Arabidopsis thaliana: one gene and its partner. The protein of the gene in region 1 interacts with the protein of each later gene in a pairwise test. Each region holds a gene or a part of one and is shown in the gene's direction. Other genes may lie near its edges.

Region 1 (7,276 bases):
TTCAAGTTAGTGTGAGAATTTCTGCAAATAAGAAAGGGTGGTGCTTTGTGAGATGGTTCCAGGAGACATCTGTTATGGTGGAAGAAATTCAGTATAAGGGTGTGAAGAGTCAAGTGTTCTAATGCTATAACAAGGTAGTGGTTGATCAGTTGGTCTCTAAGACTAAAGTATTCAATATAATATCACAAAATCAGATTGAGAGCTTCTCTAGAAGCAAACTGCTAAAGAGTAAAGAGACTGTTGGTGTAGCTACAAAGTGGAAAGAATTATGGATATATCAAGTGATAAGGTTCATACAGTCAAGCGCACAAGGTTTTATGATTGAGAATTATAGAGACAGTGACAAAGAGGCAGTTCGCTCGGCAAGTCAGAATTAATGTCGAGAGATACAAGCAACATCGATGGTTTAAAGTTTCAGGTGGAGTCATCAGTATTACAGGGAAGTAATACACGTTCGTAAAAGATGGTTTGTGATTTCAGGTGGAGCTTTAGAGTTGAGGAGTTTCTCGGTTATCTTAAGTACAAAGACAAGGTCTGAGTATACTGGGTTTTCAACGCATCAGGTGTTAGCTATGAGAAGAAATAAGTTGCTGTTTGGATATAATTCGGATTGGTCAAGTGTGTGAAGAAGACAGAGTTTCGAGAACGGGTAAGAGATGTCAGAAACGTTCAAGCATAAGAAGGTTGCAACAGGAGTTAAAAGGAAAGTTTTTCAGGTTTAAAGGATGCTTGATGGTAGTTCAGACATTGGTATATCAGTTGCATGATTAAGAAGATCAGCAAAGCTGAAGTACAAGCTCAAGATAAAAGTTTATTGAAGTGATTCTCTTAGGAGACGGTAAGAGACAAGTGCAAGGTCTTGCAAAGAATTTGTCTGCGGTTCATTCACCTCAAGTACGTGAATTGCAATGCATAAATCATGGTTTAAAAGATTCATCATAAGAGCTGGTATAGCAACTGAGAAGAATTCATCCAAGATAGGATGAGAATGAAGAAGTAGAACAAGGAAAAGTTCTGTTCACCTTTTTTGCTTCATAAGAAGTAACAAATAGGCACATGTAAAGGAAGCTTATGAGGATAAAGAAAGGATTCAGATTAATCTCTGATGGTTTTAAGATGCAAGTGCCAAGTTAGGTGAAGATTGCAAACGTGAGGACGTTTTGCAGAGTGTTTTTTTTGCAGCAAGGAAGCGACTTCGAGAAGTTCTAGAGTGAAGTTCAAGGGCTGTAAAGGAGAAGTCTCAGGCATGTCACAGGAGTGTTGATATGAGACAAGTTTAAAGAAGCTAACAGGGGTTCAAATCTGTTGGATTGAAAGGGTTTGCTGATTCAGAAGGGTTTCGAACCAGATTGAGCAAAAAGAGTTGTATCGGAAGTTTTCCTTTCTCTGTGAAAGTTAGGAGGCATGTTTTGTTGGTAACATAGGCGGTGCAAAGTGATGCTCAAAGTTCAAACAAATCACTGTAAGTACAATCTCTAGTTAAATACATTTTACTACTAACGGGTTATTGGCTTAGATTGTTTTGCAGGATGAATCATTGACTGTTTCAGGATAGAAAAGCACAAGCGATCCAAGATATTTTTGCATAATGATTCAAGGGAGAATTTGATTCAAAGTTCAGTGCACATGAAATGAATCAAAGGGCTAGCGAGGAATCGATCTGCAGAGGTTAAAAAAGGATCCAGGCTGTGAAGGAAACAAGTGAAGCAAACATGAGTTTTTTGTTGACACAAGTCTGTGTTAAAGTTGGTTCACAACTCAAGAAGTGATACTAGAACGTCGATGGTTCGGGAACGTCGGTGTGATTCACATCACAGCTATTTTTTTTCCATCGAAGATATGTTCACTAATGGTTGTTGAAGTGTGAAGATTGGAGTTGTCAAGGTTAGAGCAAGTTTAAAGGGTTCTAAGGAGCAGCTGCGAGGAAGTCTTCAAGTAGAATCAAGACATGTTGATTTTAAGATGCATTGAGGAAACAATTTTTCAAGGAAGCATTGAAGTTGAACGGTGAAGTTCAAGATGAGCGGTGAAGCTCAAGTACCGGAGATGGAATCCAAGAAGCTAGATAAGGAGCGTGAAGAAGATCGATGACAAGGTGGAGATTTGAAGGTTTAGTGTCATCCGATCTCAAGATATATGCTAAAGTGTGATAAGTATCTGAAGCAATCAGAGGGTTTGACCCAAGCTTCCTTCATTGGCTCACGTGAGAAGCACACACGTGAGATTAGTAATAAGTCACAACTAGAAGGGTAAAAGGGTCTTTTATCATTGGCTCTGTATCTTCTTCTTCTCTACTCTTCTTTGAGTATGTAACAGAATGAAACAGATAAGAGAAGCGTGACAACGAGACTACGCAAGTCGACGAGAGACGTGAGCTTAGAGTTAGAGGTAGAGAGAGTAACTGGTTTTGTGTTGGTGAGTGAGAGAAAGCTTGAGAGTGACTGTAATCCGGTGAGCGATTGTAACGGTCACTTGTATGAGCTCGAGTTTGAGCTATGATCTAGTGGATTCCGGAGTCAATCTCCGGCGAGACGTAGGGTTCCACACCGGAACCTGAACTCGTAAAATCTCGGTGTTCTTTGTTTGCGTTTTTTCTATTTTCTTTCAAATCCCTAAACTAAGTCGCAAGTTCTAATCGGAAATTATAGATTAGGCTTCACAATAATCTTGTAAAGTTTCTTAAACAATCTCTCTATTTTGATAATATTTTTCATTACTTTTTATGACTTTATTTTGTAAACAAAAATATAGAAAGTCATGAACCAATAACATAATAATTTAAATCATTAACAATAAGAGATTCTTTTGTTTTAATTGAATACCACAAAACTCTTACTGACTTTATAAGAATATGAATCCAATAACCCCAAATTTATGAAGATTTTAGATTACTTTTTACAAATCTTAAATGAATAACACAAAACATTAACATAGTTTTATATTATCTTGATTGAATAACAACATATTTTACATGACATTTTAAGTCAATAAAACTCCTTTGAAATCATAAACCAATAATATCCCCTAAAACTTAACTATTACTTTTGTTGAAAGAGAAAACATGTTCAATTAATAATGAATCTATTATACTCATGAAAATATTGTGTATATATATTCTAACATATAATTCACTGATTAACATATTACCCATATTTCTAATGAATGTAATTAAAGTTTATGTGCCACAATAGTTTGGTCAAAAAGAAAAACTATTTATTGTCTTAAGTAAAAAAAAAATCTTACAGAATCTTATAGAGTTAAATTTGCAAGCTCACAACTACATGAGCCAAAAAAATGTCAAATACTTAAATGACATTTACTTCAAAACTTTTTGATGTTAAGTCAGCCTGTCAAAATTTATTTCACTTTAACACGTGTTAGAATTCAATAACTACAAAACTATATATGTCATAATATTATGAAACTATATATCAAACAAAATTAGTGTTATTTGGGTAAGACAAAACATATTCAATTAATTAATTTTAATCTAACTTGAAAACATAGTATCTCTCTATTGGTATAAGCTCTTAATTACAATTAACCACGTACATAAGTACAACTTATTGTCACTATATATACCCTTAACACAAACAAATATTTTTATACAAACCTTGCATAAGCCTTTACGGAGTAAGGAACATTGAAACCCGATTTTTCATATATCTTTCTGTTCTAACTCATGGCGAATTTTCCAGATAAGCAGTATGACTCAAACAACCCATATAACATCATGATAACGTTGTCACCATTTGACGTCGATAGGAGTACTACGATAATGATGCCAAAAGCGTTACTAGAAACCAATTTATTTCCTTTCATGGAGATAAGTACTCTCGTCCAGTTGTTACAAGTTCAAGACAAGCCAAAGATGATTGGAGTGTATGATATTGATACTCAAATTACAACATATGTAATCATAAGACAAGATGGAAATAATTTTAAATTTCATGGATGGAATGATATTCTAAAAAGAAAACATTACAAAGCAGGCGATACTATTGCATTTTGGTGGGATCTTCGTCATACTAGACTAAATTTCAAACATGTTGCTTAATTGATGGAGCGAATCTTCACAACTTCATTTCTCGGATATGCATCTATACCGGGTTTGTCTGATCGAGTCCAGTTTGTTGTCGTTTTATTATGTTGGTTTAATTCCTGTTTCTAGAGAACATGTTTTTCTCTTATATTTATAAATATATATATTTGGATTTATAAGATAATATATGTAAATAATAAAAGAGTCGAGAGAAACAATTTCTCCAAATTTTTTATCTATACATTCAAATTTAATATAATATTTTGATAGTAAATCATAAAAAGGAATTGTTTGTGGTAGAATCATTTGTGTAACAGTTCTCATAATTTGCAATAAATAATAAATCAAGACAGCAAAACAAAAATTAATATGTATTAAAATTTAATTTATTTTAACACGCGTTAATCTAACTAATACAATTTCTATGTGCCTAAATATTTTGGCTTTTAAAAAGGTTATATGCATGTTGTAACAAATCTGATGACATTTCTGAATTATACATAATCGGCATCTAATTTATATTTTTTTTATCAGTTGCTATAATAACTAACTAGATTTTGACCCGCGGTATACCGCGGGGCTAGGTTTTTAATAAAATTTGTTATATAAAATGTATATGTAGATATTTGTTTTATTAATATTGTTTGCTTTGTTTAGTGTTTAAGATAATGTATATATAGATTTTAATTGTTATATCTAGGATTTCATCCGTAGTATATCGTTTTGTATTATTATCGATCAAAACCCGTCATACCATCTAATCATGCACAGTGAAATTAAACATATCTAATGGATTTCACTTGTAGTATACCATCTCGTAATACTGTCGACCAAACCCGTCCTACCACTAACCCTGTTCAGTAAAATTAGACATTATTTTGTGATTTTTGTTTTAATAATACTTTAATTTAAAAAATATTTAATTCAAATCAATTTAAAAGTTTTCTTTCAAATATTTCTTTAATTGTTATAAAGTTTATATATTATAATATTATAAACACGTCATACCATCTAGTCCTACTATCTAATCATGTTCGGTGAAATTATTTTTTTATTTTTTTAATAATATTTTTATTAAAATATTTATAATTTAAATCAATTTAAAGTTTTCTTTCGAATGATTATTTAATTTTTAAATCTTTTAACCATTTTGGCAAAAATAATTAGGCCATGGAATAAGAGCATATTCTTTTGAATAAGATTTGCTTTTATTTGGTAGTTAATTTTCGCATTGAATAAGCCGGTGACAGCCATTGTAAATAAGTTCCAACTCCAGGATTTATTTCACAAAATGGCTGCAAAAATGTATATAAGATAACCAATTAAATTAATTAAACCAAAATAACATAGAACAAGAGAAAGAGAAACAAAAAGATCCATGTTCTTATAGAAGGATCTAGAAGATCCATATGATCCAAGAAGATATTATGAATATATTCTAGAGATATGTATATATCTTATATGATTCTATTAGTTAGATAATTAGATTAATTCATTTTCTATATAAGTGTATCCCTTATGTTTGTTAGAGATTAATTTGCGGTACATCGCGAGCCTATATGTTAATTAAATAAAAGATTAATTTTTTTAGGATGATCTATGTATACGCTATTATTTTGTTTGATTTAAATGTACGGTCCACTGCAAAATAATATTTTAGAATTAAAAAATTATAAAATTTAAGTTGTATTTGTTTCGTTACTATTGTCTATATATATAGTCTTGCGCTATTCTAAGCTTATGAATGAAACCTTGTTCATTTTCTCTTGGGTTTTAGGGTTTTGAATACAAATTTAAGTGATTTGTTTGTTATTTCTTGCTAATTATTCAACTAAGCGGATTAGGTTTCATTTGATCGGTATATATATGTGTGCATATGATTTAAGTTTGACTAATGCTCAATGAAAATATATCTTTGTGTCATTATATATATGCTTAACACATTAACAAAATTTCTAACCCAAACCTTACCTAGATATCTCTAAGAAAAAGAACACTTAAAACTGATACCCATATATCTTTGTGTTCTAACTCATGGTAGATACCGAGCTGTATCCAGATGAGCCGCGCGTTTAATGTGGACAGCCCTTGGATACCCATAGATCTTTGTGTTCTAACTTAAGGTAGATACCGAGCTGTATCCAGATAAGCCGCGCGTTTAATGTGGACAGCCCTTGGAACATCTTGATAACATTAAACACCATCAAACATAGGTTTGAGTAATATGATAACGTTCTCAAAAGAGATAGTAGAAACCAAAGTGTTTCCTTTCCTAATTCCGGCCTATGAATATTTTCATAGGTTATTTGGACTTTTCGATTTTGAATTTAATTATAAGAACTCTTATCATAAAAGAAGATTTAAATGGAAATTTCCAATTTCATGGATAGAGTATGGTTCTCCAACTAAACAATTACAAGACAAACGATATGATTGGGTTTTGGTGGGATGCCAATAACTCTAGATTGAATTTCCAACTACTCTTGATTGCTTACTTTATGGAATGGATCTTTGCAAAATCATTTTAGATTGAATTTCCAACTACTCTTGATTGCTTACTTTATGGAATGGATCTTTGCAAAATCATTTGTATAATATGTTTAGTTGCTTTTTTAAAATTATTTCATTCCGAAAATTTGTGTATTCTATGTTGTATTCATCAAGTTGTTTAATATTTCTATCATAAGTCTTAACTATATTTTCTAGAGATCATGTTTTACTTCCTCAATAAGAAATGGATCCATTGGGCTTTATATGATAATATATATTTTACCTATTACTCATAAGTCGAGAGTTTTCTCCAATTTGTTTTTGTTTTGGCAATCAAACATGTCAACTTTATATTTGATGAGGCAAGTCCAAAAGTACGAAAGGAGATTTTGTTTTTGATTTTAATAGCATCAAGTTTCTAATAAGGGCTTAAACCCAAGACTAGGGCTAGTGTGAGCCCGGAAGGTTTCGCTTATCTATGTAAAACCCCTAATTTTCAAATCAGCGTTGAATCTAACTACTAATGGCGTCTCCAGTCACCACGAACGGTAAAGAGCCATTGGTTAGGAAGCAGAAAAAGAGTTTGTCCCTTCCTCATGATGTGTTAGTAAGCTGCTTAGCCCATGTCTCGAGATTGCACTATTCGATTCTCTCCTTAGTTTTGAAGAACTTCCGATCACTCATTGCTTCTCCGGAGCTTTACAAGACTCGCTCACTCTTAGGTCGTATAGAGAGTTGTCTTTA
Region 2 (4,859 bases), on another chromosome or scaffold:
TTTTTTTTTAATAAAGAAGAGAGTTAAAAGATAATTTTGTTAGCTAGAGTTACAGGGCTGTGAGTCTGTGATCAGAGCTCTGTTATTCTTCTATATGATGATAAAATTCATATATTATTGTAGACGATGATAAAACTTATATTGAATTGAAATAGCAGCCATGCTTGTGAATATTAAAACTAGAAATTTTTACTGTAACGTCAATGTTATACGCACTAGAAAATCAAAATGCAATATAGAGTTTTAAGGAATATATAAAGAGACTTAATGGTCGATAAAGAGATCAAAAACAAACTTGTTATAGCGGTTGCATTGGTTGTGGCCGCAGGTGAAGAAGCGACGGTTACATAGGCGATAATGGATTAAACGACGAGCCTTGAGTGAATCCGGTGGGAAGATGAAAAAGGAAGAAACACCATGGCAGGTGAAATTCGACTATGCTCACATTGCAACCATTGCATCGGTCTAACTTCCTCTTTCATATACTCACATTTTTACGAGAATCAACCAAACAATCGTTGCGAGAGAAGCACTTGGATCCTACCTTCCATTGCACTTACTGTTTCCTTGTTTTAAGAGTGAAATGTTTGATTGTGATGGCTTTGGTTATCACAAGAAACAAACAATTGTATAGAGTAACTCAAGTTAATACTCATTACTGTTTATTACAATAGTTACATTTTAAAATTCGTCCGTTATGTCAACCTTTGAAACAAAACATGGAATAGAATTTATACCATGTTGACTGTTAACATTGTAGTAAATAAGATGTATTCAAAGTACTAAAAGAAGTAACAGTCTACTTTACTGACTAAACTTTACTAACTATATAACAGCAAAGTTTATAACTAATATAAAATGAAGCTTTTGGGCTACCTAACCGACATGCCACAACCAAATTTGTTGCTCTGCATGGGTCCTTTTGCAAGATTGGCACGACTCATAAAAATGCTCCCAAAAGTCCGTACTACAAAAAGTTTCGGAGGATTAAAACTATTCTAAATTTCTAATCTTATTCTAATTAAAATGCTCCCAAACGTACGTACCCTACAACAAGCTTAGCAACGACCTAAATTAAATTTCAGATTTTTTATACTTTTTGTTGAGTGAATATGATTACTTTGGGCTTGCAAAACACTTAAATATGTCAAATGGTCCGTTTATAGATTATTGAGCGTTTTCGTGTGGACAATTTCTTTTGTGGGCTGAAGTTGGGCGGTCCATAATGGATTACAACGATCCATTGGAGCCGGCTATGATACTATTGTAAATATTATATTGGTTCGGGGCAGCAATGTAATTGGTTGGAACGCTCAAAAAGAGATTGAGAATAGAAATGGAAATGATCTAAATCAATAATTTGCACAAAACTTTATTCTCAATTTACCAAGTGAAAGTTATCTAAATCTAATATTTTGCAAAAAGTTTACTTTCCAATTCCATATTAAGAGAAATCTAGATATTTAGACAATTTTCTAATTTGTTTCAAAAAGAGTTCTGATTTTTTCTCTTTTGTATTTTACCTTTTTTCTTAGGCTAAATCTCCTATATATATGTTTGAATAGAGAACGTAAGAAATATAAAAAAAATTAAGCAAGATGAATTACAACGATCCATTGGAACCGGCTATGATCATAACAAAAGTGCTATCAAAGAGTGATATCGTTGGTAATGTGGTATTACCGAAAGCAGAAGTGATGTCTGTCCTCACGAGGATGAATGTTAACGACCAAGATTTGCTAAACGGTGTTGAAGTGCAAGTCGACGACATAATGGAAGACGACTTATACACAGTTACGCTCAAAGTATCAGGTATCGATAAACCTAAATATTATTTCGGTACTGGTTGGAGTACTATGAAGCATTCGTTAGATCTCTCAGAAGGCGATGTTCTGAAACTCTACTGGAGTCACTTGGACAACAAGTTCGTTGTTTTGAATTTTCAGTATTCAGTACTTCCATTAATGATTCCAGTGTAGCTCGCTTGCACCTATCTTCTTTTCTGTTTTTGACTATTTATGTTTTGGATTTCATATCCTAGTTAAGTGCTGGCTTTTTTTGCCCTATCTTTTTGTTTCTCTTTTGTCAAACTTGATTGGATTATCTTGAATTTGAATTTCAATAAAACGTGGTTCACTTGCCCTACACATGTCCACACACAGACAAAAGTCTTTGACAATTATGTAATTTCCTGCTAGCGCTATTGTATGTGAGCCTAGTTCATGGTCCATCAATCGAGCCAGCCCAAAGTCACCTACTTTTACATTGAAATTGATGTCCAACATGATATTGCTTGCCTTGATGTCCCTATGCAACACACACCGATCTCCCTCTCCGTGAAGATCTGTGTGTCCTAGGTGAGATAAGGGGTCTTTTCTCAAAGAGGTGAGTGTCCAAGCTACCATTCGGCATGAACTCCTATATAAGCAAATACTCATCTTTTTCATTACACCAACACAATGGGCTGCACCAGGTTTCGATGACGCAGTTTGCTAATGATCTTAACTTCGGTTACAAACTCTTTCTTTCACTGCTTGGAACCACCAGACAATTTCTTCACAGCAACCATCATATCTATTTCGTTCAAGTACCATCTATAAACTGCCCCAAACCCTCCTTCACCAAGCTTCCTCTGGGCTGAGAATCTGTTGGTAGCTAAAACAAGATCCTTATAAACAAACCTCAATATCCAAACTTGAGATGAACTCCCATGATAAAAGCTTATGTCCCTCTGTGACCGATCCAGTAGCGGCTGAAAACCCGACCGTAACATGTGGTGGCAAAACCTTTGCAAGATCAATGATATAGGAAATGCCTAAACTCTCCTGAGGATCAGAGGTTAATTCATAAGCCCAAGACGCACTCAAATTCTTAGTAACAGAGTCATAGGAGATATGTGCATGACCAACATCTTGGATATGTGAGCTTGCATTCCAAGAAGTGTAGTTAGACGAAACAAGAGAGTTATTATTGATTCCCACATGAGATCCAACAGTGGTAGGATCCCATTCTTGGTTATTGAATGAGTCAAACTCGATATGAACCAGCGGAAACGAAGATGCGTAGCTCTCGATTCGAGAAAAAAAGACCCAAGAAATCACCAGCTGAGTTCACAGGAAGTTGAATCCGCAAAGGAGCAAGAAAGAAGCAGATCCCATGACCGTAATTCTAAAGGTTACGGGTATCAATCTTAAAGGAGAAACTGGTACTAAAATCTGTAGGCTTACCAGTTTTAGGATTCCAGAGAGGCACTTTCTCAGCATAAGTAACCCAAACACCCAACCAACACGAGCTATATACTCTACGTTGTTGAAGTTTACCGTCCCATCGGGTATTGCATCCCCATGGTAAACCACATCCTCAGGACCACCTGGGATTATCGAAAGGAAGGGCCTTTTCGAGCTTGAAGCTCCCATTACTCCATGACGCAATCTGTTGAAACTTCATTCTCATAGTGATCAATTAGCTTGATCTACCGAGGAAGATGACAAAAAATTTCATTCGAAACTTGAATCAAACGATTCAGGAGTTCTCGCTCGAATTTGAAAACCCCAAACACAGAATCTGCAGAACAGAAAATCGCACAATTGATTTGAAACGAAGATTCCTAATTCCCCGGTTTGATCGTACGAACTCAGTGAGATACCGCCGGTTTAACCAGATAACCATTCGGTTTAGATTTAGAAGAAATCTTCGGTTTAAGGAAATCGCCCATTTGGCATGGGCTTACAAATAAACAAGCTTTGGCGAATGGCCCATATCCCGCTAAATTAATGACCCATGGATTAGTTTGTTTTCTTGTAATGTCCCACATCGGTTACAATATTCAGGAACAGTGACTAAAGTCTACTATAAATAAAGATCGAGAGCATTTCTTTAATATTCACGGAGCCGAGCAGTGAAGACAAAGCGAGCTATTCTTTCGCCTTTTACTAAAGAATACCGTGTCTTCTCTGCATTTAATCGGCATACGCCTATTTTTGGAAAGGTTTATTACCAAAATTATAAACCTCCATCAATTAGAAAGTTTGAAAAGCTATTAACCTTAACTATTTCTCTAGGCTAAGTGATAGTCCAGTCTAAGTTGAAAGAAAGAGTCTTGAAGAAACAATAAAAAGTGTGTCGAAATTTGAATTTCTTTATAGCATTGTAGAAAATAATATAGGTAGAACAAAACAACATCCGCCAACATTTGGAATAGGGATAATTCATGAATTTAATGAGCCTAAATTAAAACATTGTGAATGATGGTCCCATAGCTACTTCACTTGTGTGTAGGAGCAGATGTGTTGATGCGAGAACATACATTTTTGAGGAGAGGAGGGAAGAACGGATTTAGTGGAAACATTTTTGGCCAACATTTTGCATCCACAGCCATAAACGCCTTGCAGCACATAAATCCTACGTTATCACACTTTCCTGTGAAAACTGATTTGTAGATTTCAGTTACACAACCTTGAACGTTGACAAGTGATGACAAACATTTTGTGAGATCGATCGGAGAACCAGGGATGACAGGGAATTGCGGTGTCTTGTGTGCTGGTGCACCTGAGATGATGCGAGAGCAACCATCCTTGAGAAGAGGAGGGAATAATGGATTCAACGGAAACATTTTTGGCCAACACTTTGCATCCACTTCTGTAAAAGCCTTGCAGCACGTGGATCCAACGTTTTCAAACTTACCGGTTAAAACAGATTTAAAGATTTCGATATTGCAACCGTGAATGTTGAGGAGCGATGACCAACATTTTGCGAGATCAACTTGGGAGCCGGGTAGAGAAAACCCAGCACTGGTAGGGAGTTGAGCTAGCCCGGGCTTCACTAAAGTAGTGGCACACAAAGTCACAACTAGAATCGTC

What was found. The genes of interacting proteins can lie anywhere in the genome.
Region 2: the proteins of AT4G05630 (region 1) and AT5G54067 interact in a two-hybrid assay, tested with the Arabidopsis thaliana proteins (one large-scale study listed by BioGRID).

The regions. Positions count from the first base shown.
Region 1 is NC_003075.7:2,985,229-2,992,504, reverse strand, and holds AT4G05630 (B3 domain protein), read left to right. Parts: upstream 1-3,682; coding exon 3,683-4,057; downstream 4,058-7,276. Other genes in the region: AT4G05631 (uncharacterized protein), read left to right, coding at 1-113, 195-366, 481-563, 636-649, 725-750, 833-894, 1,293-1,394, 1,870-1,935 and 1 more; AT4G05620 (Galactose oxidase/kelch repeat superfamily protein), read left to right, coding at 7,056-7,276.
Region 2 is NC_003076.8:21,938,886-21,943,744, reverse strand, and holds AT5G54067 (B3 domain protein), read left to right. Parts: upstream 1-1,598; coding exon 1,599-1,979; 3' UTR 1,980-2,143; downstream 2,144-4,859. Other genes in the region: AT5G54062 (egg cell-secreted-like protein), read right to left, coding at 4,265-4,859.